4 linked regions of the Saccharomyces cerevisiae S288C genome follow. Changing the gene in region 2 together with the main gene of any one other region gives a genetic interaction. Each region holds a gene or a part of one and is shown on either strand. Other genes may lie near its edges. The genes, in order: HSP32, DTR1, YCL049C and SPO73.

The links.
Region 1: mutations in DTR1 (region 2) and HSP32 together harm fitness more than expected from each alone (negative genetic interaction), as found in Saccharomyces cerevisiae (one large-scale study listed by BioGRID).
Region 3: mutations in DTR1 (region 2) and YCL049C together harm fitness more than expected from each alone (negative genetic interaction), as found in Saccharomyces cerevisiae (one large-scale study listed by BioGRID).
Region 4: of DTR1 (region 2) and SPO73, changing one suppresses a phenotype caused by changing the other (phenotypic suppression), as found in Saccharomyces cerevisiae (one study listed by BioGRID).

The regions. Positions count from the first base shown.
Region 1 is NC_001148.4:8,348-16,160, reverse strand, and holds HSP32 (glutathione-independent methylglyoxalase family protein), read right to left. Parts: upstream 4,275-7,813; coding exon 3,561-4,274; downstream 1-3,560. Other genes in the region: YPL277C (uncharacterized protein), read left to right, coding at 1-756; YPL278C (uncharacterized protein), read left to right, coding at 806-1,108; FEX2 (fluoride transporter), read left to right, coding at 1,806-2,933; phosphopyruvate hydratase ERR2, read left to right, coding at 5,291-6,604; seripauperin PAU22, read left to right, coding at 7,734-7,813. UniProt on the Saccharomyces cerevisiae protein: Catalyzes the conversion of methylglyoxal (MG) to D-lactate in a single glutathione (GSH)-independent step. May play a role in detoxifying endogenously produced glyoxals. Involved in protection against reactive oxygen species (ROS).
Region 2 is NC_001134.8:585,915-594,910, reverse strand, and holds DTR1 (Dtr1p), read right to left. Parts: upstream 5,171-8,996; coding exon 3,452-5,170; downstream 1-3,451. Other genes in the region: SMP1 (Smp1p), read left to right, coding at 47-1,405; 40S ribosomal protein eS6 RPS6B, read left to right, coding at 2,137-2,142, 2,495-3,199; FZO1 (mitofusin), read left to right, coding at 5,797-8,364; EHT1 (medium-chain fatty acid ethyl ester synthase/esterase), read left to right, coding at 8,749-8,996. UniProt on the Saccharomyces cerevisiae protein: Prospore-specific dityrosine transporter responsible for translocation of dityrosine through the prospore membrane and required for the formation of the outermost layer of the spore.
Region 3 is NC_001135.5:35,047-43,302, forward strand, and holds YCL049C (uncharacterized protein), read right to left. Parts: upstream 5,679-8,256; coding exon 4,740-5,678; downstream 1-4,739. Other genes in the region: PBN1 (Pbn1p), read right to left, coding at 1-347; LRE1 (Lre1p), read left to right, coding at 819-2,570; APA1 (bifunctional AP-4-A phosphorylase/ADP sulfurylase), read right to left, coding at 2,790-3,755; YCL048W-A (uncharacterized protein), read left to right, coding at 6,442-6,681; SPS22 (Sps22p), read left to right, coding at 7,119-8,256.
Region 4 is NC_001137.3:238,221-245,760, forward strand, and holds SPO73 (Spo73p), read left to right. Parts: upstream 1-4,959; coding exon 4,960-5,391; downstream 5,392-7,540. Other genes in the region: MEI4 (Mei4p), read right to left, coding at 240-1,403, 1,492-1,554; ACA1 (Aca1p), read right to left, coding at 1,812-3,281; putative AAA family ATPase SAP1, read right to left, coding at 5,590-7,540. UniProt on the Saccharomyces cerevisiae protein: Required for spore wall assembly and ascus formation. Involved in the formation and elongation of prospore membranes.

The sequences.
Region 1 (7,813 bases), on a different chromosome or scaffold from region 2:
GCTAGAATATGCAAATGGGGGAAGCCATTCGGGCTTGACGGAATTATCAGGGTAGAGGTTGGCTTTGAGGTCGTTTTGTGTGATTTTTCGGCTGATAACGTCGAACTTGTTTCAATGTTAGAAATGGTCCAGCCTAACCAGTACCTAGGCTTACCAGCACCTACCGTAATATCGAAGGAAGAAGGTTGGCCTCTGGATGAAAATGGAAGCCTAGTTGAAGATCAGCTAACAGATGACCAAAAGGCGATTCTGGAAAGAGAAGATGGTTGGGAGAAGGCTTTTTCTAATTTCAACGCAGTTAAAAGCTTCAATCAGTTGAGAGCGGGTGCAGCGCATGACAACGGGGAGCATCGAATCCATATCGACTATAGGTACCTAGTGAGCGGGATAAACAGGACGTACATTGCTCCTGATCCTAACAACAGAAGATTACTCGATGAAGGAATGACATGGGAAAAGCAATTGGACATGGTAGATGACTTAGAAAAGGCGCTGGAAGTCGGATTTGATGCCACGCAAAGTATGGATTGGCAGTTAGCATTTGATGAGCTTGTCCTTAAATTTGCTCCATTACTAAAATCTGTTAGTAACATACTGAACAGCGATGGTGATATTAATGAGTCAATTGCCATCAATGCAACAGCACTCACATTGAACTTTTGTCTACCAATATGTGAGCCCATACCAGGCCTTAAAAACGGATGCAGACTTTTTGATTTGGTCATCTGCTGTCAGCGTTGTCGGAGAAATTGTTGATGTCATTTATAAAGTGAATGATTTATTGATACCCGAAGTCTACTCTTTTATGACAGATAACACAACTTCCAGCGACTTAATAAAGAATGTCGAAACGGCTCGCTCCACTATCGATGGTTTAATTGAATCTCTAGGGTGGATTGAACTAAATTACCGTTGTGAGAGGCAATGCAATTGGGATGAAGTTTGTTACACTCCTTCCTGGGGCCCATCTCCAATGGGTATGACTGAACCAGGTTCCCACAATGAGGGATTTGGAACCCACTTTGATGAATCTCGACAAAGGTTGGTTATTAACAGTAAACTACAGTGTATCAATATAAATGATTTGATGGTTAATCGTAATCATTAGCGCCTCATGTGAGCAGGCCATTGTGGGACAGTATGAAGGGTATGATTTCTAGATAATCCAATAATAATTATGAAGTTTTTGAGATTTGGGGTGATACACATCTATGAATTACTAAGAGATTTGAGACACAGCGACAGTCATGCCAGCAAGATTTAAGATTTTCTTTATTTAGTGTTTATATACATATCAGATATCTGTTGAGTATTTTCTATTTTACCAAAAAAAAAAGATATGAAATCAAGATAAAACGTCGTATGAAAGACAAGGGAGCTCAGCAGCAATATCATAAAGTAAAGCAACAGCGCTTGGTTCATGTACAATGAACGATCTGAAAATTATTTGGCAGCGGTGCTACGAATACATGTCGATATTACGTTACGATTGTCTAACAGGGGAGGAGAATCGTGCACTTTGATGGGTATATCGAAAAGATGGTGACTCTGCTAGAGTCACTGTCAGTGAGGAGTTGCGATGTATGAAAGATTCACTGACATAAAGTGGCGCGATTCATGTAGCAGTGTAAATCACTTTTGACGCAATGATGGAAGAGATACGGAAGAGATACGGAAAAAATAAAACAAAAAACAACTGAAATAAGTACTAAAGGATTATATTTATTGCCGCCATTATTATTTAGCGTCTGGTGGCTCAAGAATCTGCAGTTATTTAATTATTTAATCGAGCGTGTAATGCTCTGATGATTTTCAATCCGGTCATATCAAATCACAAGTTGAGCCATTATATTCATGTTTTTTGTACATTCACCACGTTCTGCATATTAGGTACTGAAACACGTCAGGCTATAACGGCGCTTTCCACCTACACTCCGGCCTTCGTTACTGCTCCGACCGTTCTCTGGTCTAATTGTTCATCCTGCATGCTAATGGGGATTATGCAATCTTTAAATGCTTACACTTGGATGAAAGATCACCAAGTCTTGTTTTTAGGTGTAACTACTGGGTACTGTGGTGCCCTGTCTTCCTTTTCTAGTATGCTGCTAGAGATGTTCGAACACTCTACAAACTTAACTAACGGTAATATCGCTAACCACACAAAACTGCCGAACAGAGCTTACGGTATAATGGAGTTTTTATCTGTCTTGCTCGTTCATCTTATGGTTTCCATGGGTAGTCTTATTTTCGGTAGGCAACTTGGTAAGGAGGTTATTGTTGCTTATGGATCTAGTTCGTTTTCGAAGCCATATACCCCTCCCTCAGACACTGTAAAGGAAAATGCTGGTGATGTTGATACACAAGAAATGGAAAAAAATATTCTAGAGTTTAAATTCAAAACTCCAGCACCATTTTTTAAGAAATTTTTTGATGTTGTGGATAAACTCGCGTACGCACTAGCTTTTCCATTAATTATTTTGTTTGTGGTGCTGTGTGCGTATTATGAGAACTATTCGAGGGGCAAGTGGACACTACCATGTCTATTTGGAATTTTCGCTGGTTTCCTAAGATATTGGTTGGCAGAAATGTTTAATAAAACAAACAAAAAGTTTCCATTGGGTACTTTCTTGGCAAACGTTTTCGCCACTTTATTGATTGGCATATTTACCATGGTGCAACGTGGTAAAAAACACTTTTCCACGGATATTCCAATTGTGAACTCGTTGAATTCATGCCATATTGTTTCTGCGTTAATATCCGGATTTTGCGGCACTTTGAGTACCATTAGCACGTTTATCAATGAAGGGTATAAGCTATCATTTATTAACATGCTTATTTATTATACTGTTTCGATTGGAATTTCATATTGCTTATTGGTGATAACTCTCGGATCCTATGCTTGGACTAGAGGATTGACTAACCCGATTTGTTAGGATCTTTTCTTCATACCTTTTCCTGCACAATCATCCCACCTTTTTTTTTTTTTAATTCATTTTCAAGATTTTAGACGTTGTATAATACATTTTTACCGACTACTGCGGTTTATTGTAATATTTTGTGAGATTTTATGAATGCGTTCCATCATCTATTTACTACAAAACGATAAATTTCCCCGTTTTCTTTTACTTTTACTTCATTTAATATAATTCATATTTATTTCCTATGTACCAATTAATTACTTCTAAAAAGAACAGAAATAGAAAAAAGTTGTATATAACAAGCCAAAAAAAAGAAAAAAAAAGGAAAAAAAAGAAAACACAGCTTATTTCAAATTGCAATCTGCGTATTTCGTAAGTAACGAATGATCTCACAGCATTGCTTTTTTTTTTTTTATATATATATGTACATTACCTATGTCACATATGACCATGATGAGTACAACACTAAAAACCAAGGCCTACTATTCAATTGTTCTCTATATGATTTCCATTCTAGCAAAATCGAGTGCTACCGACCTGCCGTTTTCTTTACCTTTCGAACCATTGAGCTGTTAGCCTTCTCTTCACAGAAACTGAAAGCCATTAGAAGCCTCCCCTTCAACAATTCCCTTGTCTTTTGTTTCAGCTATATAATGCGTTTATAGCTCTAATTGTGGTCGAATAGGAAGAATTTGCGTTAACACCCGTAACTAGCTTTCCATCTGTAATAGAGTAGTCATCCCAGGGATGGATTGGCGCCAAGTACTTGGCTCCATTCTTGTTTGCAACGCGTTCAACCGTTGTCAATTTTCTGCTCCTCAAGATGTCGTCAACTCCCAGGGCGATTTCACCCTCGAGTGGGAAACCTGTTATAGCTTTGCCTTCGATTAATGGTCTTGTTGTTTTGATATCTATTAATCCATCGAAAAGGAGCGGTCCATGACAGATGGCAGCGATCACACCCCCATTGGCATATATCTTGGATGCAATATCTTGCAGATTTTTAGCTTTGGGATAGTCAAATAGAGCACCATGTCCAGCAGATGCAAAGAATATTTTATAGTCGCTGGCGTTGACTTCATTTGCGGTCTTGATCCTCGCTAACGCCTTATTGAAGGCGGAATTTTTCGTTTCAAAGTTCATCTTATCTTCGCCACCAATAAAGCTCTTTGGCAAGTAATGTTCATCCCAGCCAAATCCACCAGTCTCAGAAACGAAGTCCACTTCGAAACCATGCTTTTCGAAAGTATCGAACGACCGCAAAATCTCAACTACAAAAACGCCTGTTTTCGCACCATCTTTATAGAAGGGACCGTGGTATGAAGTAAGAGATATTAGCGCTCTTTTTGGAGTCATTGCAAGGCCAGTTTTCTTTTTGAATGAAGGAGAAAAGTGTTCTAGAAATATGTTTTAGTTCTAAGTATCGTTGTCTGGAGCAAGCAAAGAAAAGCAGACCTGTATGTGCAACTTTCCTCTTTTCCATTAAAATCTCAAGAACCGGCCCCTTGACTGTGCTCATATATCAAGTATCGGTTTTAAAGTCCCCTAATTGTGATAATTGCAAGAACAACAGTCAAAAAGATATTTTTCTTTTCTTTCTTTTTACCTATCCTTCATGAAAATACCTATGCTGATACTGAATATCTTCATTTGCAGCTATGCAATATTTCAGATACCCCATTTTACCCAAGAGTTTCTTACTGGTGGTTGGATTTTCTTTAAGACGAGAAGATTACCAGTCCTGGATGTTCGTGAATGTGCCTATTGCGTCATCAGCGACTCCGCGCCAAGAAAAGAAATACTCGCATGCTCGGATTTATAGAATCGCATAATGGAAATACCTTCCTTAAAGGATGGAGATAAGGAAAAAATGACAAGAACAAGGAAGTACTTGGGAGCTTTCTCCGACATGGTAAATATTTGAAACTCACGCAGCTCTCCTGGAAAGTTGGATCTGGAAAGGTAAGGTTGTTTTTTTTACAGACATCAACCAAAATCGGTTCTTGTAGTAGACAATGTCACAGATCGCCACAAGTTGAAAAAAAAGTTTCGATGAACTGGATAAGGGGAGAGGTCACAAACAAAGTGTAGGGGGTGAGTAGTATAGTGGTAACTTGTTCATTTACCTAAATAACATTCTCACTAGAAAAGAGATATTGAAAGACTCCTCGTTTACCTAACTTGGCTGGTTCTTAGGTATATAATAGAAACATGGATCTGGCAGGTTATCACTTACAGTTTGCACTCCCACCAGGTTACAATTTTCATTATATATAGTTATTTTTTACCACCACTTCTTCTTCTTTCACTTTGTCTTGCAATAGAAATACCAAAACAAGGTGAGGAAAAAATCGAATCTCAACGATAAAAATATGTCCATCACGAAGGTACATGCTAGAACGGTGTATGATTCTCGCGGCAATCCGACTGTTGAGGTTGAAATTACAACAGAGAATGGTCTCTTCAGAGCGATCGTCCCATCTGGTGCCTCCACCGGCATTCACGAAGCTGTTGAACTTAGAGACGGGAACAAGTCCGAATGGATGGGAAAAGGGGTGACCAAGGCAGTCAGTAACGTCAATAGTATCATAGGGCCTGCTTTAATCAAGTCCGAATTATGTGTAACCAATCAGAAGGGCATAGACGAGCTCATGATATCGTTAGACGGAACTTCTAACAAGTCAAGGTTGGGCGCCAATGCTATCCTTGGTGTTTCCTTGTGCGTTGCTCGAGCTGCTGCCGCACAAAAGGGAATTACTCTCTACAAGTATATAGCCGAGTTAGCGGATGCTAGACAGGACCCCTTTGTTATTCCTGTTCCTTTTTTCAATGTTTTGAATGGTGGAGCCCACGCCGGTGGCTCTTTAGCTATGCAAGAATTCAAGATCGCGCCAGTCGGGGCTCAGAGCTTTGCAGAAGCCATGAGGATGGGTTCGGAAGTTTACCATCATTTGAAGATATTGGCGAAGGAGCAATATGGACCTTCCGCTGGAAATGTTGGTGACGAGGGTGGAGTTGCCCCCGATATTGACACTGCCGAAGACGCCTTGGACATGATTGTGGAAGCCATTAACATATGCGGTTACGAGGGTAGAGTGAAAGTAGGAATCGATAGTGCTCCTTCTGTTTTTTATAAGGACGGGAAATACGACCTAAATTTCAAGGAACCGAACTCTGACCCATCTCACTGGCTCAGTCCAGCCCAGTTAGCAGAATATTACCATTCATTGCTAAAGAAATACCCAATCATTTCCCTGGAAGATCCCTACGCCGAAGATGATTGGTCCTCGTGGTCTGCCTTCCTAAAGACTGTCAATGTTCAGATTATTGCAGATGACCTGACATGCACCAACAAGACCAGGATCGCCCGTGCTATAGAGGAGAAATGTGCGAATACTCTGTTGCTGAAACTCAACCAGATCGGTACTCTGACTGAGTCTATTGAAGCCGCCAATCAGGCTTTCGATGCTGGATGGGGTGTAATGATATCGCATAGATCAGGTGAAACCGAAGATCCGTTTATCGCTGATTTGGTCGTTGGTTTAAGATGTGGTCAAATTAAATCGGGCGCTTTGTCGAGATCAGAAAGACTGGCCAAGTATAATGAACTTTTGCGTATCGAAGAGGAACTGGGGGACGATTGTATATATGCTGGTCATAGGTTTCATGATGGAAACAAACTATAAAGGATTGTCTTGTTTCCTTTTTTTTTTTTTTTTTTTTTGTTTTTTTATGACTAAATAAAGTAAATCATATGAGGTTTTATTTTTTATTTCGTTGATTTGGGTTACAGTATGGAAATGGGGCATTTGACACAAGTTATTTTATTCATATGTTTTATCTTGTAGGAAATCAAACCGTTTTTAAAGTTTTCCATTGCCTACACACAAAATCATTACGAATCTGTCTGAACAAGGGTGGACGTGTGGGGGAAGGCTGTTCCAATCAAGAAATGCTTACAACTCTACTAACACTGCAGTTTTTCAGCTTTCTGATTAATCTCTTCGGTTTAAATTTTTTAGCAGCTATTACTTTCTAGTAACCCTTATAACGCGGTTGGTATCAAATCTTCCTGATAGTACAAGCAGACCTTTGACCCCATTCTTGTTGTGTCTTGAAATCTTTTTTTCTGACAAAAGTAAGAAGTTACACCATAATAGAGAAGTTAAATAATGAAAGTGTATCGATCATAGAAATGATTTTATTTTTTTCAACTACTGTTACGGTCAAGAAACTAATACTGAGGATAAGTTTTCGCAACAATGATTTTGGTACAAGTGATTTAAAGTCTTGAATTACTTCAACACAATTTGCTTTGCGACGGTTTAGAATAACGTAATCGTATCAACGAATCCACTAGGCGCGCGTAAAAATTACAGACTCTAACAATATACGACTCCCAGCACATACCTACTATTCTGTACAATTCCGGGAAATAGGAGGGTACAGTATTATTTTTTCTCGGCGATCGTTTAGGGTATACTGGAGATAGGCTTAGCAATACGCTTCTGAACGAGGATCTATAGCAACTAAATTCAGACATTCTGCTATACCAAAAAAGGAAGTATCACAGGCACGGAAAAGGGTTTTATAAGGCACCTCGGCACCCCTATAACTGGCATTCTCACATTCGGCGCATACGAATAGACAAAGGCCCCAGAAAACAATACCTTCGCATACAGAATCTATAAAGATGCATGCCTCGTTTAAAAACAAAAACATCTTCATAGTGATCATGAAGTTGTGGGAAAGATGAGATATGGAGAATATGTGAAGTGCTAAAGGAGCATCTGTTAACGAATCGTTTAAGTGGTGATGACCAATGAAGGAATAGGTATAAATAGAGATACTTCAACTATATGCCTTCGAGAATATGTCTTTATTCATTTCTTTCC
Region 2 (8,996 bases):
GCTCTAGATAAGCAAACACAATTATTTTCAAAAAAATTTCTGCTAAATGGGTAGAAGAAAAATTGAAATTGAACCTATCAAAGATGATAGAAATCGTACAGTTACTTTCATAAAGCGAAAAGCAGGACTATTTAAAAAGGCTCATGAATTGTCAGTACTTTGCCAAGTAGACATTGCTGTCATTATTTTAGGATCCAATAATACATTCTACGAATACTCTTCTGTTGATATGAGTAACCTGCTTAATGTTCATCAAAACAACACTGATCTTCCTCATAATATCATAGAACCATCTGATTATGGTGACTATGTGAAAAAACCACGTGTTGTTCTGAATGAAAGGAAGCGCAGGCGAAGAAGAGCAACCGTGTTGCAACCAGCTTCCCATTCTGGGAGTTGTACAGTTTCGAGTCAAGATTCCTCCAGTGTACAAAACAATGGGAATTTAAGCGCTCCGTTGGCGTCAAATGACGCCGGGAACGCTGGTGTAAGTACACCATTGGTGCATTGCCACGGAGCAATATCACGTAGCGGATCCAATCATTCTGACTGTGCAAGAAATAGTGCAGATTATCAAATGTTGCAAGGCGGTTTAAATTCTGGTGGGAGTTTTCATGCTAATGATTATAAAGAAAGCGTAGACCAACAGCATGTTGCAAACGAGGCTATTCATAGGAATTTTATGAACAAGAGGATTAGGCCGGATACTCATTTACTACTTTCTGAATCTAACCACTCTAATTATCATAATTTTTACCCGTCGCCTTACGAGAATTTGCCAAAGCCTTCATTGCCTGCAAGTTTAGTGGGCAATATTCCATCCTTTCAATCGCAATTTGTACAGGTTATTCCGGCAAATAGTAACCCAATGGGAAAAGGATTTAATGGGACGGGTGACAGCGAGAGCTTTGAAGCAAAGCAAAAGATACACCCGACAGTTGCTATATCAAATACTTTGGAAGGTCCAGCTCCAGTGCAGGCGATGGTCCATCACCTGCACCAACTGAACAGCAATAGAGGAAAGCTCTCAGGGAAGCCATATTTAAAGCTAAATATTCCGAAGGCCACAAATGACGCTTGCCAGAGGTCGCCAGCAATGTATTCAGGAACCGCATCACCGAAAACGGATGTACAAGCCACTCCCAATCAAATGCTCGCCAGCAACATGTCCTCCCCTCTTTCTCGTTCAAAGTTTTTGGGATTCAAGAACAATGATATGGACGACTTATATCATAATGGCCGATGTGGCAGCACTTATGTAAATAACAAAACATTCTTTCTGAAACCGCCAATTGGAAGACCGCCTAAATTTCCGAAAAGCCCGTCTTCATCTATTGTGGTTTTTCCTTCCTCGGTAGCTAGTTCAACTTTGAAATCCACGAGTTCGACAAACTCTCCAGATTAATGAATCGCTTTCTAGCTACTTTTTACTACAAGAAAGCATTCGCTTAAAATTAAGAGTGTATGTTGGCGCATTTAGGCAAACGTCTTCTAAATTAGGGCTATAGACAATTATGTCGCTCGTACATTTTTCAGATGTAGTGACGCAAATTTCTAGCAATTTGCAGGTAGTGCTCCACGGCCCCCTTCCAATTTTTGTGCACTCAATCGATCAAAACAATAGAGACTGCCCTGTTAACTTCTCAACATAATTATGTAAAAAATTATCTCATTAAGCCAGATAGCAAATATATCACATATTGCATTGATTAATTTGAGAAAAATATACATGTATCTTTTCAGTTAATTTTATTAAAAATAAATTATTTCCTTACTTTTTTTTCTACAGTTTGCACCATTAACCTCTTTTCTTGCATCCATACATCTTTGAACTCCATACATCTTATTTTTTTGCTGTTTTTTTTCAGTGTCTCGGGCATACAGGCCGCTTATCTTCATGCCGGCCCATCATCCTAGGAAACTCTTTCGGTATGGGCCAAGGGCAGGCGAAAATCCTATGTGCGTGGAGCTGATACAATCTCGGCTGGCTTGGTTTGTAGGGCACGGTCAATGAATGCCTGATGGGAGAAAAATTCATCTTTATGAAAAGTGATCTTAATTTGAATAGTGTGCCCTTCAAAACATTTGGAAGTCATTAATTGAAACTATCCAGTGTGAATAGACGACTGAGCCATCATGAAGGTATGTAATATCACCCAAATCCTTAGAATTCTAATGAATCAGCACGCGCTAACCGGCTGTTTCTGACTGTTTGATAAACGTATACCCACAAATTAGTGCACTATAATAAAAATTCTCAAGAACAACGTTGTTTAAACGAGATAATTCCCTCTAATATACACGTACCGACACTTAGGAAAATATCTCGCTAAGTTCAAATTAAGGAATGAAAAAGGAATTTACGAAAAGGGTTTAGAAATATCAATGAAAATAAGAAAAACCTGTAACGGAAGAAAGGACAGCAGGGATTCGTTGGAATTTGTCGATATTGGCTTCGGACAACTTTACTAACAAATGGTATTATTTATAACAGTTGAACATTTCTTACCCAGTCAACGGGTCTCAAAAGACCTTCGAAATTGATGATGAACACCGTATTCGTGTTTTCTTCGACAAGAGAATCGGTCAAGAAGTCGATGGTGAAGCCGTTGGTGATGAATTCAAGGGCTACGTCTTCAAGATCTCTGGTGGTAACGACAAACAAGGTTTCCCAATGAAGCAAGGTGTTTTGTTGCCAACTAGAATCAAGTTGTTGTTGACCAAGAACGTTTCTTGTTACAGACCAAGACGTGATGGTGAAAGAAAGAGAAAGTCCGTCAGAGGTGCCATTGTTGGTCCAGATTTGGCTGTCTTGGCTTTGGTCATTGTCAAGAAGGGTGAACAAGAATTGGAAGGTCTAACTGACACTACTGTTCCAAAGAGATTGGGTCCAAAGAGAGCTAACAACATCAGAAAGTTCTTCGGTTTGTCCAAGGAAGATGACGTTCGTGATTTCGTCATCAGAAGAGAAGTCACCAAGGGTGAAAAGACTTACACCAAGGCTCCAAAGATCCAAAGATTGGTTACTCCTCAAAGATTGCAAAGAAAGAGACACCAAAGAGCTTTGAAGGTCAGAAACGCTCAAGCTCAAAGAGAAGCTGCTGCCGAATACGCTCAATTGTTGGCTAAGAGATTGTCTGAAAGAAAGGCTGAAAAGGCCGAAATCAGAAAGAGAAGAGCTTCTTCTTTGAAGGCTTAAGTATGTCTTGGACCTGCATAATTTTTATACTTTTTCCTTTTAGATATATGTACTTTTGGCTTAATTTAATATAATTAACTATAACTTCGATTTTATTCTTTGAAGGTCCAAATGCACGTAATTCATAAACTTATGATGCATTGTTCTATTTCTTGAAGTCCTTGGGATGAGTGATGAGAAAATTTTCTTGAAAGTTAAATAATATAATAAAATTCTAAAAGTTAAATTTTATAGCTAAACATAAACTATTTCTTAAAATTCTTTGGCAGTATATTTTCTTTGAAAAATGAGAAGATATAATATACCAATCAATGAAATTGAACTGCAGAGACCGAGCCCTGTAAAACACCATCCAATTCCCATTGCGTTACAGAGCTGTAAAATGATAGCGGAACTAATGGCAGCGCCCACATTTCGAAAGAAACTACTAACAGCAACAGTTCCAGCAGCTCTTTTGGGGAATAACTCAGTTAAATATGTCATTGATGTGTTGCTGCACCAGGTCATACCAAAGGCAGTGAGAGCGGAAAAAACTAAAAGAACCACAAAATGATAATGAAAGAAGATTGCCCATCCGTATCCTATTGTGCCACATATTGTTAGTAAAATTCCAATTAGGTTCAGTAATAAACGAAACTCTGCCGGGAATTTCTTTTTAGGATGACTTTTGATCCAGCGTGAACGAAGATAATCTGAGAGGTGCCCACCAGATTGAGATCCTAGTAACATAGCTACACCTGGGCAGACATAAGCAGCACCAATTTCTAACATAGTAAAACGGTAGTCATGTTCAAGGTAATACGAAAACGTGACGCTGAACGCATAGTAACTGGAGAACAGGAGTGCAGTACTGACGGACGTGATTATTATTGGAGGACATTTAATCATTTTCCAATATAGTGTCAAACCTGCTTTAGGCGGCTTTGGAAAATTTTCTTGGAAGAAAGCATCATTATTGACTGGTTTACGGATACCAATGTCTGGGAACAGACGCCGATGTGATATTTTATTACCTTCGAAGAATGGAGATTCGTTATTTTCACGTTCATCTTTTTTGTCACCCCATTTAGGGTCTCCATTACCAACTATACAACGTAGCGTTTCTGGAAGTAAAGCAGTAACCAAGATCAATGCTATTCCTGTCATGATAGAAGTGAAACCAAAAAGCCATCTCCAGTAATTTCCTTTCATTAAAATAAGCCCAGCAACAATGGGTGCTATAATAGGACCCATGTTTGGACCCATCATGAAATACGCTATGGCCTTTCCCCTGTGTTTTGGAGGAACAACGTCTGTTACAGTGCCAGCTCCCAGAGAAATCACAGAGCTGGAAGCGAAAGCTTGGAAAATTCTTAAAACAAAAAGGGCAGCAATATTGACTGGTACAGCGGCCAAAAGTATATTAACAATTAACATTAGTGATAACGACACCATATATAAGAATTTCCTTCCACCAAAATCCGCCAGTGCGCCCCAAAACAATGGACCAACGGAAAAAACAGCCATAAATACAGAAACTGTAGCGTTTATTGTTGTTGCACTTACATCATATTCCCTTTGCAGCAATGGTAAAGCCGGTATATATATGTTTCCAGACATTGGGCCCAAAAATCCTATAAAAATGATAATTCCAAAAATGATTAGTCTTTGATCCTTGGAAAAATAAGTATATGGAATATGTGCTTGAGTATCAGGAGAAGGGTCTCTTGACTGGGAGTTCGATGACTTTACAGCAACTTCCTCTTCTTTTGTTTTTGCTTTCTGTGCTGACAATGATGGGGAAGAGTCAGGGTGCTCATGAAAGACATCATGATCTATATTGGCTCTCTTTTGGTTCACCTGATCCCAGCTTTCATTAATTACATCATCTCCTAGATCTTCTAGCGAATGAAATGTTGAGCGGGTTGTTCCACTTTCTTGCGAATTAATTTGCAGACCCAAATTCTTTTTCTGAAACGGTTCGCTTCCCATTGCCTTAATTCTTTTCCCAGCTCTTGAAACTCTTTTTTGAAAAATTACCAACAACAACTTTTCTTACTACCATCCTTCTAGCCTTATCAATATTCTCATATATCTTAAAATTGCAATTGTTGTTACAAAGGAGTTTGTGTCGTTTTTCACCAGGTGACAGAATGTCTGGGTTGAAAGTATCAATGAAAAAAAAAAATGTAGAGAGATGCCAAAACAGTGGCCAACAGGCAGCTTTGGCTACGGAAATGATTTGGAAACCTGCATAAGTATTTCTCCGCGAAATTGGGAAGAGTGATATGGATAGTTGTGATCCACGGTATATAATTCCTTGTGATCCCTTATCTGGCAAGATAGCTATAGTATTACTAATACGTGGCGCTAGTATAATAACTCGCGCAAAGACCGAACGGAGATTAATATTTAAAAGTTGGTGCGCAGTCCGGGTAAATACAGCTTTTCATGCTGAAGAATATGGCCGGGCTAATATTAATTAAGACGGACGATGCATTATTGAAACAGGATAACGCAGGTTACAGTAGCCCTTAATAAATAAAGCAAAGTACATCCGAACATAGCAACATTATCTGATATCACGGATAGAGGCAAAACGGTAGGCTCATTTAACGATGTCTGAAGGAAAACAACAATTCAAAGACAGCAATAAACCGCACAAGGACTCCACAGATCAGGACGATGATGCCGCCACAATAGTACCACAAACTCTTACTTACTCACGCAACGAAGGTCATTTTTTAGGCAGTAATTTCCATGGAGTAACTGATGACCGTACCACTTTGTTTGATGGTGAAGAGGGGCGTAGGGAGGATGATTTGTTGCCCTCATTGCGTTCCTCCAACTCAAAAGCACACTTAATTTCTTCACAACTTAGCCAGTGGAATTATAACAACAATAGAGTACTTTTAAAAAGATCTATATTAAAGACACAAGCTTTTATGGATCAACTTCAAGAAGAAAATAATATTCGCCCGATTTTTATTGCTGCAAATGATGAACGGGAAAAATTACATGTTCTACAACTGAATATCAAGCTAGATGGTCAGTACAATACCAAAGAAAAGAACGGTTTCAACATTGAGAAAAAAGCTTTATCAAAATTATTTCACTCTCAGATCGTATCAGTGACAAATCATTTAAACGCTTTGAAAAAAAGAGTGGATGACGTTTCATCTAAAGTATTCATCACAGGTGATGTAAATACTGGTAAATCAGCTCTTTGCAACTCTCTATTAAAGCAGCGTTTGCTACCTGAGGATCAGCTACCATGTACCAATGTATTTTCCGAAATACTAGAGGCTCGGGAAAATGACGGCATAGAGGAGGTTCATGCCATACCACTAAACATTGCTCCGACTCTCAAGGAAGCCATTGATATGTATTCAATACAAAATCCCAAGACTTATGAAATACACACTTTGAAAGAACTTCCCGATTTGGTTCCCCAAAACGGAAAATATGCTTTACTGAAGATTTACATAAAGGACGATAAAAGGCCTGCCTCTACTAGTCTATTAAGGAATGGTACTGTTGATATTTCATTAATTGACTCCCCTGGGTTGAACATGGACTCGTTACAAACCGCCGAAGTAATGTCCCGACAAGAAGAAATCGACTTAGTTATATTTGTTGTCAATGCAGAGAACCAGCTAACACTATCTGCCAAGGAGTTTATTTCTTTAGCATCTCGTGAGAAAAAATTAATGTTTTTTGTTGTGAAAAAATTTGACAAAATCAGGGACAAACAACGTTGTAAGGAGTTGATCCTAAAGCAAATCCGTGACCTGTCCCCAGAAACATATAAACGTGCAGCTGATTTTGTCCACTTTGTTTCCAAAAACGGAGATGAATTGCCACATTATCATAATGAAAATGACAATGAAGATCATGGTGACCGAAAACCTGACGACGACCCATATTCTAGCAGCGATCCCGATCCGGATTTTGACAGTCTGGAAGATTCTCTACGCAATTTTGTTTTGAAGAAAAGATCACTTTCTAAATTGTTACCTGCCAAGACTTATCTATCGAAATTATTAAGCGATATAATAATGATCTCCAAATCTAATATGAAAATGTATAGTGAAGAAGAAATAAAAATTAACGAACAACTGGAAACATTGAGACCTGAAATTTTGAGCGCTAGAGCAAAGTGCAATGATTTAACAACTTCCGTTGATCAAATGGCCGAGCAAACAATTACAATGACTTATAACAATACTAAAGAAGCACTTCTCAATGCGTTGGATGTTCCGCTACACGAATATCCGAAATATCAGGGCCTCGGTCAAATTTATGACTTCATATTTTCAACAGAAGCGTTCATAGCAAATCAGATTGATGAGTCAATAGGATCAAGTGAATTATTTGCCAAGCAAAAGACAGATTTACTGGTAAAAAAAATTTATGAGATTGGAAAAAATGAACTTGGTGATGATTTCATGTGTGAACGTGTTTTCAGAAGCGAACTAATGTTTAGAAAAAGGAAGCATTTGATAGGAAAAAGGCTTAAAGTATCTTTGTCAATAACTGATTTGTTTGCTCCAACTTGGAAAGGCTTTTTGTCTTACTTAAGCTGGCAGAAACCTGTCACAGCACCACTGCCGGATATAGAAGGACAAACTAACGAGGGTCAGATTGGCCTAATGAAGTATTTGGGTTTGAAAAATTATCCTTTGACACAATATTGGTCAAGACCATCATTGCTCTTCACATCAAAAATTCCCACTCTAACGCTGTACTTTCTAGGAAGTACAAAGGTTGTGGGGAACATTATATTAAACGGCATTAAATTATCGTCGTGGAGCTCACTCAAGAAGTTATCAGTTCCGGTTATAGTGGTAGGTTCCTTGTTGGGACTTACGTATTTAATTCATGACCTCCCCCGTGCCTTACCAATGAATCTTTCCATTAAATACAAAAGAAAGTTGCAAGAACTGGATTACATTCATCTTAACGCTCAAAGAACCTCAAATGAAGTACGTGATGTTTTGCGTGTACCTACACGTGAAATTCTAAGGTCGTGTGAAATAATTATGGATAAAAAACAAATCACTAAGAAAGAATTGGAAAACAAAAAAGAAAGTAACTTGTTGTCAATCAAATTCTTCCAATCTCTATACGAAGGAACCGTGGCTCAAAAATTGATGGTGGAAGAAATAAATTTAGACATCGATTAGATATTCTTGTAAATATATGAGGTCTTTTCAAATCAATATACATAATGTTACTTATTATTTTATTCCAAGCAGGTCCATTTTTTTTTTCACTTTGCACGAAATTACATAAACATTAAAAGGACCCTTGTGTATCTGCTTAATGATTTGCAAAACCTGCGGAAACGGAACGAAAAATGAGCAATCTCGTTCCGGTTCCGAGATCCTTTTTTTTTTTTAAATCTTGCGCATGTGCAGATTTTAAAAGGCGTCAGATATCGGATGTCCCTGGAAGTAATAGCTCCTCGAGTATTTCCTCCGTTTATTATTAATATGAGCAGTTTTTTAAGTTCTATTATTACATTGATAGTAGTTGCGTAAAAAACAAAGCTCATAAAAGTTTCCGATATGTCAGAAGTTTCCAAATGGCCAGCAATCAACCCATTCCATTGGGGATACAATGGTACAGTTTCGCATATTGTCGGTGAAAATGGTTCCATTAAACTCCATTTAAAAGACAACAAGGAGCAAGTTGATTTTGACGAGTTCGCTAACAAATATGTCCCAACGTTGAAGAATGGTGCCCAATTCAAATTGAGTCCTTACTTGTTCACAGGTATTTTGCAAACTTTGTACTTAGGTGCTGCTGATTTCTC
Region 3 (8,256 bases), on a different chromosome or scaffold from region 2:
TCGGGAGGCAAGTACTGCTCTATGTCAAACTTCTCACTGTGAAATGAATTGTAGACTGGGTTAGTAATAAACCTTTCCGGCACATCCGAAGAATTTGAGTAAACTGAAAAGCCAGCACTCAGTTCATTTTCTATAACGCTTAAACTTCTAGCCAAGTCCGCTCTGGGCCTCCAAGTGATTCTCGTAAAGGATTTATCCAAGCTTCCAGTCCTCTCTAATAGCCACCTTTGTTGTAAAACCACACCAGAACCTCCACGAACAGTCAAATGAGTGTCATTTTGGCGCATATGATTACCGATATCCTCAGGGGCATTGTAGAGTACAGTCACTCTATGTCTTGTCACCATTACTCAGCTAGAAACGCACACTTCTTGCGTTTATTCTCCTCCCGATTTGATTATGATTAGCGTTTCCATTATTTGATCTTTTTTATCAGGGGGATCTTCAAAGAAAGGAACTTTTTTTAGGAAAAAAAAAATAATCATCTTTTATTACATGTGTAATACTTCAAGCAATCATAAACAAGAGTTAAGAAGGCAAAGTTCTGCTGTTAGTGTGTCCTCCAATACTCTTGCACGACAAAGTTTTAGTTATCCCCTTCTACGTGTATTGTTCCTCCGTGGTCGATTGTGTTCAAAGATTGGGAGCTCTTTTCGTGTTTTGCACTAAGAGCATACTGTTAATCCGCAAAGGCCACTAAAACTTACCTGCATTTGTCTACTTAAAGATACATTCCAACTATTTACATTCATTTTTATTTCTAAAAGAGCATTCTGAACCCTCGGCAATTATTTCATACTCCTTCTCAGAATAGGAAAATGCCCAATACGCATACTCAACATGTGCAAATATCAGAGCCAAATCCTGTAAATACTTTGTCTACACCATCCAAAAGAGGTCACCGCCATCGCAGATCGCTAGCAATATCAGGAGATTTTGATTTTTTGAAACAGCCTGCAGCAATTGTGAATTTACCACCTCCACAGGCGGCTGAAAATTGTCCTTCAACTGCCCCAACTGCTGTATCAAGTACATTATCGCCAATACGCTACAATAGATTTCCTTGCAAAACCAATGAAGACGCTGGAACGTTAGATTTGCCTGAACCAAGATTTTATCCGTTATCACCAAAGAACAATCTGCAAACACCAAGTCCACGATTTTTCATTAGTGAAGAGCCAAGTTTTTCATCGCCAGTTAAAGGCGTCCCAGATGCCATTATTAACCTTGACGATGCGTTGAAGACAAGGCCTAGGTCATTTAAATCACATAGAAGATCTGAATCCGCTCCTCCTGATTTGGAGGTTATGGTAGATAAGGGCAATTGTGCAGCCGGTTCTAACTCTATGATTAAAGAAGAAGAGGACTCCTTAATTGAACCAGAATCGAAAAATGAATATTATGAGCAAAAGCTTCCAACAGCACTATTATCCCCACTGCGGCCTTCCCTTTGTGTATCTGAACAGGCCATTGATGTAGATGATTCAGCTCTCAATGGGTCACCGACCCATCACAACCATGGGATGCAAAACGCCAATGCACGGAATTCCAACACATTCAATTCGTTGAAGATCAAAGGCCAAAAGCAAAGATATTATCATTATACGAAGCAGCTACCTTTGACCGTAGGCTGTGACTCGCAATCTCCAAAAGAACAAAGGTCGGCTGCTTCAATGACAATCAATCAGGCAATGACACCTTCTTCCCTGGCCTATACCCCTTCTAAACTAGCATCTACTCCCGCAACACCAGTATCCTTTTATGACAGCAATGCGGACATTAACTTAGAAAGTGATAATTTTCCACTAAAAGATAACCCTAGATATGCCAAGGATGGTTATCCTAAAAAGTGCGGCAATTCACAGCTTAATCGTGTGCTGGATAGCGATAAAAGACAGGATTTTAGTGGAGAATCGAGAAGAAGAAGATCGGGCAGTCCTATCTCCCACATGCAACACCGCAACCTGATTGATAATATGAAAGGTAGACGAAACAGTAACACGATAAACTCAATCTTCAACTACAAGAGTCAACATTATGAAATGCCATATGATGATATGATGAAAAATGAAAACATTAATGCACAGTCCATGCCCTTTTCAGTCAACGGTGTCAACAATGAAAATAGTATCGGAGGGGTTATTACGAGAGCGGACGATGCACCCCTTCAACACTCTGTGGTCAAATCCTGTACGCCTGATGGCAAGGAAGAAATGAATAGGCTTAAAAGTAATGACAGTAATGAATATTCCAAGTCTGAAGGGCAGATCAGAACCAATTCGCAACTAAGTAAGGACATTCTCATGGGTGAACCAGGTGATATGGTTGATCTGTCCTCTTTTGTCAACGCGCAGAGAAAAGCCTCAAATGAAACTGGTGACTTAGTCTTTAGTTTATCCCAGGATGATGACGCACTGAAAACGTTCCATGCGAGCAACAGCGCAGCAACAAGCAATGAAAGCTGGTGTATTAGCGATGATGCGTTAGGAAAGCAGGCGCAGGACAGTGAAGTTAGGAGGAAAAGAAAATCCAAATTAGGACTCTTTAGACATATTTTTTCAAGGAAGTAATACAACAATATTAATAATAAGTAATAAAAAGGTGAATCGTAACCTTAACGGCATTGATTGCATGTAGTTTTAATAATAAAGTGTAGAATAATAAATATAAAATTTCAAAGTCATCAGAAATAAAAATTGAATAGACATATACATATAGAAATTACTTCTATCATTTAAATACATATATATACATACATGTATACGTGTATACTTGTACTTGTGAAGGACTCAATAGTTGTATTCGTTTGGTTTTTGACCAGAAGTGTTTGGGAAACCACATTCCAATAAGATATCGTTAATCAATTCAGGTTTTTCAGTAATCTTGGAGAAAACTTCATCATTTTTGGTTAAGATCATACCACAATAACCTGTGGAGTTGAAACCTATCTTCATTTCATCAGAAAAGGCCTTCGAGCGTGGAACGACACAGATCCATTCCTTGGTTAACATAAGATTGTAGGATTTCTTTAGTTCTGGATTTTCGTTCAACCAGTCCTGGAAAAAGGTCAAAGCTCTTTGCAATATGGAGATGTAACACATAGCTAATAGGTCTTCATCAACAGTTTCTTCAGACTCCGGCATTGGCAAGACAAAATGAGCGAACGAGACTTTAGCATCTTGCAAAGGTTCAGTATTGAAAGTTGGTAGGAAATGTTCTTTACCATTACATAGTCTATCTTGGAAAGTGACGAACTTTTCAGGCATTTGCAGAATTTGCAAATGTTTGTGGTCCAATGAAGAACCACTGGCTGGACCAGAATTGTAAAAGACCATGTGTCTCTTGTCGGATTCTTCATTGTCCAAGGCACACAGCAACTTATAAGCAGTCAATAAATCGGTTGGGGTCAAGGCATCAGTTTGATGTTGGTATTCGTTAGTTACCAATAAAGTGTGTTCAGGGATTACAGGGAATTTGTTTAATAGCAATTTATACGCTTTGTTATCGGCACCACCAAATTCTGGGATAACCGTTAATTCTTCCTCAGGTTTGCCTAGTGGATCCTCTCCTTCTGGAGTTTGGCCACGCTCTGGCTTTTCGATCAGACTTGGCATGTGACTAATCAAGTATGGCATGCTGGTTTTTGGGTCCTTTGTTTTCGTTGTTTCAGTCTGGATAAATTTTAAGTTACCATTATCGAAGGCACTTTTGTACTTGTCACTAATTAAAGATGCAATGTCAGCGGGGATACTCATTTTTATTTTAATTTTTACTTTTCTGTTTGTTCTAAAATCTATCTAAACTGGCTTTCAAGATCAATCTATTGTCTTTTAAGGTAAACTTTAAATTGGAAATAATAGTAATGTTAGTTCCTTCATTTTAACCTTGTATTGTATTTCCTTTGCGTGATGAAAAAAAAACTGAAAAAGAGAAAAATAAGAAAATCTTCTAGAACGTTCCGAAACAGGACACTTAGCACACAAATACAGAATAGGAAAGTAAAAGGCAATATATGAATGCAGTGCTTGTAACTGGTGCTTGTATCCAAGAATAGCTTCTTGCTGTAGGTTATGGGAATATCGTGTAAGCTGGGGTGACTTTTGAGCTATTCGCGACGCCCGACGCCGTAATAACTACTTTCGACAGACCACTTATGACAGTATTTCAGGCCGCTCTTATAAAATGACATGTTAACAAACAGTTCTGATTATTCGCCTTTTGACAGGACGATAATGTAAATAGTTGTGGTAGTATCATTCAGGTATGTAACTGTTTACTTTGTATCGCTTGAAAAAAATAAGCATTTCAGAGCCTTCTTTGGAGCTCAAGTGGATTGAGGCCACAGCAAGACCGGCCAGTTTGAATGCTCAACTCTTCAAAAGAAATTCCTCAAATATGTCCAGTTTCATGTACTGTCCGGTGTGATTTATTATTTTTTATTTACTTTGTAGTTCTTAAAGCTAAGATTTTTTTCTTTGATAAATTCTTGTTTTCATATCCTAAAATTAAAGGGAAAATAAACAATACATAACAAAACATATAAAAACCAACACAATAAAAAAAAGGATCAAATACTCATTAAAGTAACTTACACGGGGGCTAAAAACGGAGTTTGATGAATATTCACAAGATAAAAATCATATGTATGTTTCTGATATATCGATATACAATCAAACACTTTCAAGAATTTGTTTGTAGACTTTTTGCTAGAGACCTCATCAAAGTGCTACCAACTAAGATCAACTTATACTTCTTTTAGAGAAAATTTTTTTCAATGTACTCCAAAGAGATTTAGATCCTGTCTCTTCCTCTTCCTCTTCCTCGAAAGTCAAAGAAAAATCAGAGTCTCCCTGCTTATTCAGGCGGAGAGGCTCTAGGGTAGTTGCGTTTCTCTCATTGGGACACTGAACCTCATTTTCCAACATTTTGGTCATGTAAGAGGCGACAGGCTCATCGCAGGTGGGTGCATCAACATGGTAGTACCTGGACCAAGCGCTACATTGAGTCCCTCCTGGATAAACACCGCTACAATATTGTCTTTGGACGTTTGCCCAAACCATATCTTTTGAATACCAAAGCTGGACCACATTGTATGGCCTAATCATTGGTGCTACCATAATACTGGATTGGGAAACAGTCTGGTTAATTTTTTTCAACCAATTTTTCTTATCTAGCAATGATTTAATAAACCTGAAATCTAAATTGTCTTCGTTAGCGTCTGTGTCATAATCTACAATTGAGTACTGTGACGTCCAATTATATGGCACCGAGATGGGGAATCTGTCCGGTGTTTCGTCGCTGTTATCCTTCTCCTCCCTCCAAATGCAGTCAGAGGCAGGTGCCCATTCGGTTCGCCAGTCTCCGTTATTTACTACTTGGTACTGTTCCCAATCGTAATACGTTTCCTCTGGGTTGAAGATACTTGCTCTGCTCTTGACATTGCCCATAGCCACACCACGAGAAACATCGTGGAAGATTACGGAGCTGTTTACGATAGCAGGAGCAATGGATTTGACGAATGACACTTGATAAAAGTCTTTGGTCGAAAATACAGTATCAACGCCGTCGTGGGACTCGACCCCTGGTAGAAGAAGCAGAGCATCTAGATCAACGGTAGATGCTGCAGAGGTCAAAGCCACAAAGAGGGAAGATGCAGTTACGAGGTATTTACTAAACATTGGTTCGAAGTGATTACAGATTTTTCTCTCTTGAACCCTGGAATTGCAATAGCTTGGTTCCTATTGGGACCGGACCCTCTTGCGTAAAGTATATATTTAGAAGCAGCTATTTAAATCTGAATGCAAGACGAAAAAAAGCTCGTTTATAGGAGAAAAATACCAAAAAAAGGAAAACCATACACATTCGGGTATCCCAGCTTTGCTTGCAAAATCAATCGATGAGCAAGACAAACAGGGCCAGCTGATGCATATGTTTTGTGTTGCTTTCCTACGATCAGCTAATGCGAGTGTTATAAATATTCCCCTAGTTTTCTTCTCCTCCTTTATGTAACAATAACTTGTGGACTTCCCCAACATAAGACTAAAAGCAAAGGGATAACAAGGGATTTATCTTATTCCATCCCTTTGCCTAGCGCACTGTTACGCAGCTGATCTTATCAACAAGTGTGGTTCTTGCCTCTAAGATTTACATTGCCTTTTCCCAAAGGGAAGGTGGGACAAAACTCATTTTCCCTAAGGGGAAACGTAAGATACCCTTTAGGGAAGATAAGGGAAGTTAGTAGATTGACGACGTAAATCTGTGATGAGATGAAAAAAAAAGATTAGCATCTATATAAGAAAGTACATAACCTCCATTTAAGTTGAAAAAAATTTGTATGTAATGTCTTTTCTTCCTCTTTTCTTTATTTCATTCTCACCGCTAAATCGATAACGGCTAAAACAATTAAAGCTCCCTTTTCAAACCTTATACTTCCGTTAAATAATGCAAATCAAAAACATTGTCGCTGTTCTAGCTACAGTCACTGCTATCAACGCCCAAGTTGGCATTGAACCTAACGCCACTACTCCAAATGCTACGCAGCCAAATGCTACGCAGCCAAATACTACTCTTCCTACCGCTTCGGTGACTACGACAGTTTCGATTGGCGAAGCCGTAGTTAATACCATGGCGGCGGGTGCCTTTGGAGCAGCAATCGCTGCCGGTGTTGCCTTCTTATTCTAGGAACATTTTTATTTCCTTTATTTTTTTCTTTCTTTCTAATTCCATAACCGTTGTTCAAAATTGGGGAGCTTTTTAACTTTCGTTCCATTAAGCTTTTTCTTTGTTCTTTACGTTTGATTCTATTTCAACCATAATTTATTTTTTCGTTATTTAATAATTACTAATATTTAATACTAGATGTATATACGTTGTGTGTATGCGCTACTATAGTATAGCTTAACTGTTTTATTATACCCTTTTTTTCTCTCTTTACTGTACAGAAGATGCGTCACTAATTCAAAAAAAAAAAAAAAAAAAAAAATATAAAAAAGAAAGATTTTGGAGAAGCTATATCCTTTTGTGACATACAATAGAGAAACTTGTTCTGTTGGTAAGATATCTCATCTGAAATACAACAAGGAAAACCAAAAGCCATTTTTTCATTACTTGATCGACTTATGAACCGTATTACTAGGAAAAGTTGTTTATTCGCGATTATATTTGCATCATTATTTGTGACACATGCATTGGGTGCCGCTATTGATCCGCCAAGGCGACCACATAATGTGAAGCCTTTTCATAACGGTAATCTCGAACTTCAAAGAAGAGCAAATGAACCGTTTTTTGAAATAGATGTCAAGAGTCTGAACACAAACTCACCGATATCAGAGTTGTGTAAAAAAGATTTGCACGTCATTGAATCGTCTCATGATCTTTTTCATTTACAAAACCAATGTGAATTCATCTTGGGGTCATTAAAAGTCACAAACTATGATTCTAACATTTTGGATTTGAACAGCTTGAGGGCCATTGGTGGTGACCTGATTATTCAGGATTCACCTGAACTGATCAGAATCCAAGCCGGGAACTTGAATAAAATCGAAGGGCTCTTCCAATTACAGGGACTAACCTCTTTGGTTTCTGTTGAAATTCCAACTTTGAAATTTTGTCAGTCACTGGAGTGGAAAGTTGTTCCCATCTTGAACTACGTCTCCATGGATTCTCAGAATATTGAGATTATAAAGGATATTGTCATATCGGATACTTCATTAGCAAACATCGAGAATTTCAACAAGGTTCAGGAAATTGATACTTTCAATATCAATAATAACAGATTTTTAGAAACTATTCATTCGAACGTTAAAACCATTAGGGGACAATTCAGTGTACATGCGAACGCTAAGGAGCTAGAACTTGAAATGCCACACTTGAGAGAAGTGGAAAACATAACGATTAGGGACACATCATTGGTCTACCTTCCACAATTAACAAAAGTGAAAAGCTCTTTAGAGTTCATCGAAAATTACTTTTACGAATTGAACCTGAACAATTTGCAGAAGATTGGTGGAACATTAGGAATTATCAACAATGTAAATTTAATAAAAGTTAATTTGGAGAACTTAACAGACATTCAAGGTGGCTTGATGATCGCCGATAACGAATCCCTCGAGGATATTACTTTCCTGCCAAACTTGAAGCAGATTGGAGGTGCTATTTTCTTTGAAGGTTCGTTCAAAGATATCATGTTCGATAGCTTGAAACTGGTGAAAGGTAGCGCTTTTATTAAGAGTTCATCAAACGTGTTGGATTGCAATA
Region 4 (7,540 bases), on a different chromosome or scaffold from region 2:
CGTCCCCGAACGAAAAAATCATAAAATAGAAGTTTCCTATCGGTAATACCGTAAAGTTTAATTCAGTTCGTATAAGATTAGGTTAATCATGGGCAAGTCCGGAAGAAGCGTTTTAATGTAGGTCTGTTGGGGAAGATGTTGTGTTCACTGTAATTTTCAACTGAAGTTGTTGTCCCCGAAATGAAAGAGCTTTCGATATTTTTGTGTTTTATAATGCGCCTCCTACTGCAAAAGAAAAATTAAATGTTTTCTGTCTCATTGAACCATCTTGACAATCGAAAGCGCGCTATCAAATTTCTTTCGGCAGTAATTAATAAGGCCGCCTGTATATATTTCCTTTTCTTCTGAAGCGATATTTCATGAGCCGGAAATTTTTCCAGGAAAGGTTTTAAGTGCTGCCATTCAATGCTTTCAAATGTCTCGAGCAATGATAGAATAACTATCTTGAGTATTTTCAATAGACCCCCTAACTCTTTTTCTGGGACACCGCTTATTACACTGTAAAAGTTCTTTAAGTAGGTTTTCTTCAAACTCAATTCTCTTTCGAGGTATACTCGACAGTACGCCTTTTTCCGGTTGATGCATATTAGTTTATGCTTCGATACAAATCTAATAAGTACATGTATCAGACTTTCGATGATGATAAGTATGTGTTCAATTAATTTCAGAACAGATACGTATTTTAATATCTGCGGTTCAAATGTTTGGTTTGTCTTGATTTTGATGAGTTGAATGTTAATAATAGAGTAAATAAGGGTAAAATGCAACGAACACAAGCGCTTGTAGTCAACTTTATCACATAAATGTTTGCCATCTCCCTGGTCGTAAAAGTTTTGAAGCCATTTTGGATCGTTTTGGTTCTTCTTCAATAAAATTCTATTAAACAGAAACTTGGCGATGAAATTGAAAACATGAACGTCTATCAGTGTCCTCTTAAAAGAAGAATCAGAATCTATGCGATGCGAATAATGAGAAACTAACAAGATTTGGAGTGTTTGAAACACTTGCGATAACCCTCTAAAGTCAATTTCTTTTGTTTTTAAGCTCAGGATTTTTAGCAGAATTTTATATCTCGGTAAAAACCAGTTGTTTATATCAGCAGTTGATACATCTTTGCTAAATGATTGCAGCTCCTTTAAACCAACTGCATCTTCGAAGCTTTTGTACTTATTCTGGCAAAGGAAATTGTATATAGGTTCCAGATGAGCAAACAGTGATTTATTATTCAAAAATCCATTTTCGAAAGGCGCAACCCATTTGTATATATGTTTTGAGTTTTCCCGAGGATTTATTTTTAAATTTTTTTCACTCTTGAGAGCACCTACATCTTCGACATCTCCTTTCTTTCTTGAAAGTGCCCTCTTCCACAACGTAGGATTCCTGGATTGAATTAAAGCAAAACACTGTCATAGATAATATTCGAGGAGATTACACCTCTTACTAAAAGTTAGTAAAGAGAAAATAGGTTAAGGATGTGACAATTTCACGTACGATTATCCAGTCAACTTCCGATGTTTCCTTTTGTTCCATATCTTCCAGTTTGCCTCTACTCATGTCCTTACTCTTCTAAAAGATTATTTAATGAAACTGTTTCACAACTACAAGATGTTTGTTATGTTTTCTTTTACAAGTCGGAAACATTTAGCCGCCCAGCAATATATATGACTCCGAAAGAAAATGAAAGGAAATACATACATAGTAAAATAAATCGTTTAAACATAAATAATCGTACAGAGGAAAACATTAAGGAAGGAGAGTCAAACTAATGTACTGGGAATTTGGATCTCCCATAAGAAGTATGCGCAATACTTTTATTCATCATATAGACTGGAGCTGCGTATCATTTCTTCAATCATTTTCAGAAACCCGTTAACATCACTATCCTTGTTTTGAAGGCTTTGATAACTATTATTACCACCATTAATTGTGCATTCTTGCATGTGCAACCTCGAAATTTTCTTCATTTTTTGAACCAATTTTTCGTAATTTTCAATTTTTTTCTTCATCATTGTGTTTTCTTTGCTTATTTGGTCAAATTCCCTTTGAAGTTGTAATTGTGACATTTTCTTTCTCTGTCGACACTTGGAAGCGGCAATTCTGTTTCGTTCTAGTAGCCTTGCACGCTTCCAAGCTTTAGCACCGTCTTTCAAGCCTGCAGTATTGTTCTCTATTTTTTGGGGTCTAGCTTCCTGCTTTATTTGGAAGGTTGCTGTAGTGTGCATAGAGGAGAAGGGCGCGGTATGTACGTCTTTCTCACTATTAATATTGTTTTTCAGTGCAGAAGTGGCATCCTTGTATTGTGGTTTTGAGTTGGCATGTGTTAAATTGACATCAGGGCATTTCGATTCGTATGGAAGGCTGCTTGAAATATTCAACTCGGCATTTTGGCAGGAATTATTAACAGTGTGGTGATTAACGCCATGGGAAATTGAAGAATGGACGGATTGATTTTCGATATTATGATCATTAATGTTTTGGCAGGAAGAAGAAGAGGAAACGGAAGAATTAGAGGCTGGAGTACATGGATGCACATTCAATTGAGCGTTTTTCCATGCCTTAGTTTGCATTTGAGCTTGTAATCGGAGTTGCATGTTGATGTAAGCCTGATTCATTGTGGAATCGCCAGATGGGATAGAAGGCGTGGCAGAAGGAATGTCACAAGTGGCTGCTACTGCGGGTATGTTAAGCTTTATATTGCTATCATACGGGGTCATTGCAGCGTAGATATTCTTGCTACCTGTTTGAGGTGCAGCTTCGGGTATGACTGTAGCTTGTTCGTGTGGTTGTGGCACGTTTTGCAATTCGTTCGAGCTAAAGCTTGGGTATATGGCTGCGCTTGGATTTGCCACCTGTTGAGGATTGGGATTCTGTTGCGCCTTAGACGATAGGATCGGAGGCTGACAGTTGTAAAGATTTTCAACCGTTTCTAAGTCTTCGCCTAATTGACTAATCTGACCATTGGAGATAGATATGCGTCTTTTGTACACGGGCTGATCAAACGCTGGTAAAGAACTTTGAAAAATGGGAGGGTTGGTAATGGGAAGATGGCTGATGTCGACGCCAAAGGGTTGAAACATTGGACCCAGGTTTTCTTGCACGCTACGGTCATGCAAACTGTTTTGGTGATGAAAATTGTAGGCAGAATCCACAAGACCAGGACCCGATGGTTGTTTGTATATAAGCTCCTTGTTTGAAGATAGAAAATCTGTATATAAGAGTGGGTTCTGCCTTCCATCTAGGAAAGAATCTGGACTTGTAGCAAAATTATGCTTATAGTCCATACTTTATTTGGTTCCTTAGTCGTTACCTGGTGTTATTCCAGTACTATTAATATAACTCAGTACAATTAGCTGCCGTGAAAAAAAAAAAATAATAAGAATACAGTTTCTGCGCTTTTAGTCGGTAAGCACTCAGATTGAGAGATCTAGATTTACTATATTTTAATAATAACCAGTTAAAGCAGATTTTGAAGATGAACTAACATAAAAAAAATTGATGAATTATGTAACATAATCTTCTGTACCACCAGGGTAAATCGCCAAAGAATATCTGCATCTAAGAACAAAAGAAAATGGTGCCCTAAATATCTTTCAGATGAAAAACTAATTATATATCACTACTAAAAAAAGCCAGAAAAAGAAAAAAAGTAAAATAGAAAATAGAAAATAGAAAATAGAAAAATAGAAATTAAAATTAAGAGCATTTTAAAATTAAGTCTACAAAGTAATACTTGGCATATTGCTTAACTCCTCACGCAGAGCCTTAGCGTACCACTATTTTATCTGATACCACAAAAAGCTGCGCTTTGATGGCCCAACGGGGATATAATCGCGCCACTGCTACTCATGTGCTGCAAACTAACAGTGCCAGCAGAAGCGAGCATTGAAAAACTAAACTTTGCCTTGTTCTGCTTACTTCATGCAGAGGTACAGCTTCGATGTCCTAAGGTTGAACATCATCTTGCTTCGATTTCGGTAGTAATCATTTTGCCTGCACGCCATTGTATGAATCTCGTGCCACTCCCTTTTTAACTCCGAGATACAACTTTCCGTGGGGAAAAGTACCGTAGTATTGTAATTTCGAGAGCATCTTTACGGTAATTGCCCCTCCACACCCAGACGTTACACAACCCTTAGTAAACAGCTGCGGAAAAAAAGTGTGCCTACGCACTGTACGACTCCTGATTGATTCCTTCATTAGCACTGACTGGCTTACGGTGCACATAAGTTATTAAGAGCAGTTTAATTCAGTTGCTGAATAGTCACGTTGATGAGCACGAATACCTGAAACACCAACGGTAATGAATCAATTGGCCTAGCGCATCGTTGTGTGCTTGGGTGTGCCGCACAATGGCAACCAAATACTGCTCGTTCCTGCACTTCGAAAGAAAAGCAGCCAAAAGAAAACGCGTTTTCCTTTGCGAGCGCTGGTTTGTTCCTCAGTTTGATAGAGGCGTTCAATTGGCAATTTGGGCACTAACACCGATGATAACAAGATATCTTGACTTTGACCTCTGATATTGAGGCGTTCCAACCAATAAGAGGGGCTGACGGTTGAAAATAAGGGTAAAAGAGAGCTATTCGGGTTGGGTCGCAGATTAACTTAGAAAACATGTACATGCAAATGTTGTTTTTTACGTACAGAAAGAGGCTGATGGAACCAAAGGAAGCAATAATTTGCACCTTGATATTTTGCGCTTTCTGCTTTTGAAACCTTATTATATGCCTTTACATATACTGTCACGCGACATTTTCACCTTCTACAGTGTTTAATGAAAATCTGGCTTGTGTGCATTATCTTTTTTGTGAAAGTTTATCTCCGCTTAAACAAAGCGATTGAATCTTGTCTACGTAATTGGGCTCGTGGGACCAAAAGGCTACTATTTTCCAGGAAATTGAAGACTTTGCAATCGTAACAAGGTTTCTTTCATCGTTAAAATACAATCATACATAGAGATATATGGGCAAAAACCATTTCTTGAAGGATTTCTCTGCTTTACCGGAGGACGTACTCATAGAAAACGAGAGAGGCATAACTTTACTTGGTTACCCACTATTTTCTCCCAAGATTTTACTGCCTCACGTTGACCCACCACAATTTCAAAGACTAAACACTGAAAATGGCTCGTTAATTGCCCTGTCGAAAAATACTATATCGAACTTCATAGAACTGTATCCTATCGATCTGAGTACTGAACGCACTGCAGGCAGTAGCAGTTCACAGATGACAAAGTGGTTCGTACTGATGGATTACAAGGAAAAGTACGATATTGACGATCAAGGATGGTGTTATAGCTGGAATTTCAATAACTCTAGGTGGAAATCGAAAAATGGCTTGGTGAGAAGAAGGGTCTGGGTAAGACTACCTACGACCAGTCATGGATTAGATTAGTAATAGTTTACGCTAATATTAAATTGTTTAACAAACTAAGTAGTCAAAAAAAAGAAAAAAAAAAAAAAAAAAAAGAAAAGGTGACATTATGCAGAACATATTTTATCGATCCGCTTATGTGCACACAGTTTGTCCAGCTAGGCTAGAATATTATTTATTATTACCATTATTATTATATTATTATTATTATTATCATCATCATGAACCTGATGATCCGAATTGTGAAGCCCACTTTTCGTACTTCACTAATCCGTCCTGGGATACAGAGGGCTTGATATACACTAAACTGTTCTTAAAATCCACAAGGCCTATGGGTCTTATCATCTCCCTCTCTGTTTCTAATAACTTATCACCCAGATCTCGTAGTGGGCCCATGGCAGCATCCTTCGCTAAAGACGTTATATCACTTCCTGAATAGCCCTCAGTAATCTTTACCAGTTCATCAAAATCTGATTCGGTTAACGTGTGCTTTTGATGGGAAAGAAGCTTCTTAAATTGAACGTGTCTGGTCTGGTCCTCTGGTAATGGGATATATTGTCTTCTCACAAATCTTCTCCTTGCAGCCTCATCAATAGACCATGGTAAGTTTGTCGCGGCAAGTACCAGTACCCTTGTATCATCTTCGTCGCCATTGGTGTCAGAATTGTTAGTGTTACTTTTGTTTGAACCAGCCGCTGCGCTGGACAAGGATGACCACTGAACAAGAAATTCATTCTTTATCCTTCGGCTTGACTCATTTTCATTTTCGTTATTCCTACTACCCATGATAGAGTCAATTTCATCAACAAATATTATAGAAGGTGACAATTTTTTGGCAATTGCAAATAGTGCCCTCACTAATTTTTCACTTTCACCCAAGTATTTAGATGTCAAACTGGAAGCACTAATAGAGAAAAAGGTGGAGTGCGACTCTGTAGCTACAGCTCTCGCTAGCATTGTTTTACCTGTACCTGGTGGTCCAAATAAGAGCATCCCCCTGACTGGTTCACGTAACCCCCTGAATAAGTCTGGTCTCAAAAACGGATAGACAACTGCTTCCTTCAAAGAATATTTTGCACTTTCTAAACCAGCAATATCATCCCAATGAACTTCATCTCCGTGCACTACGATTTCGGCAAAAATTTGCTTTGCAGCTTGCCTATCTACACCTTGTAAACTATCAATAATTTCATCTTCTAAAATCTCCCTCAGGACTTTCTTGTCTATTTCAGGCTCTTCTCTTTGCTCATTTAGGGAAGTGGCATGTTCAGTGGCATCTTCTGTTCCAACATCTTCTATTTTTGGAGAACCGATTTTTTTTTGTGCTGGTATTTTTCGATTCGTTTTACTCATAGACGTGGTTTGATTTTTCGATGGCTTCTTATTCTGGGATGCACCATGCGAGTATGGTTTTGAGTTACTTACAGGTCTGGAAGGATGGCTACTCGTTTTCTTCGAACTGGAATTTGGGACTTTCGCCGTTTTGGATTTCAAAATGGGGTGACTCTTCTTCGTAGTGTTTAATGCGGGGTTACTCGCAACCTTTTTGCTGTTCAGAACTCTCTTAGCAGCCATTGCAGCCGTTTTGGGTTTTTGAATTACTGAATTTGGAACAGTCAGAGAAGAGGTCGGAGACGATGCATTGGATTTGATGATTGGTTTTGTATTACTTTTTGATCTTGTAATAAATGTTGGCGTTGATTTAGTGATAAGAGTGGGCGTTGATTTGGTACCCTTTAAGTATGGTACGTGATTATTCTTCATTAATTTTGATATTTGAGGATTCCTAATCTTTGATGAATCCATAGTAGTAGAAGTTTCTAAACTATGTGGCTTTAGAGCGCCAGTGCTGGACGCTCTATCGACATTTAATAAAGGAGGTGGAGGTAATGAAGGAAGAGCAGGGGCGGTAGTCGGCAGGGACTGTATGCATGATCCGGGAACATTTTCTGAAGAACTTACACTCTTATTACTGGACGTAGAAGAAGTAACAGACAAGTCAGACATTTGCTGTTGAATTGCTTCTAACGTTTTTATACGTCGTCTTTCCTCTTTTTCTTCTTCTTCTTCTTCTACGTCGACTTCGGAGAAATTATCATAGTAATCGGACACATCAAACTCGAAACCATCACTTTCTTCTTCATCAAAAACGTTGTGTCCTTTTAAAATG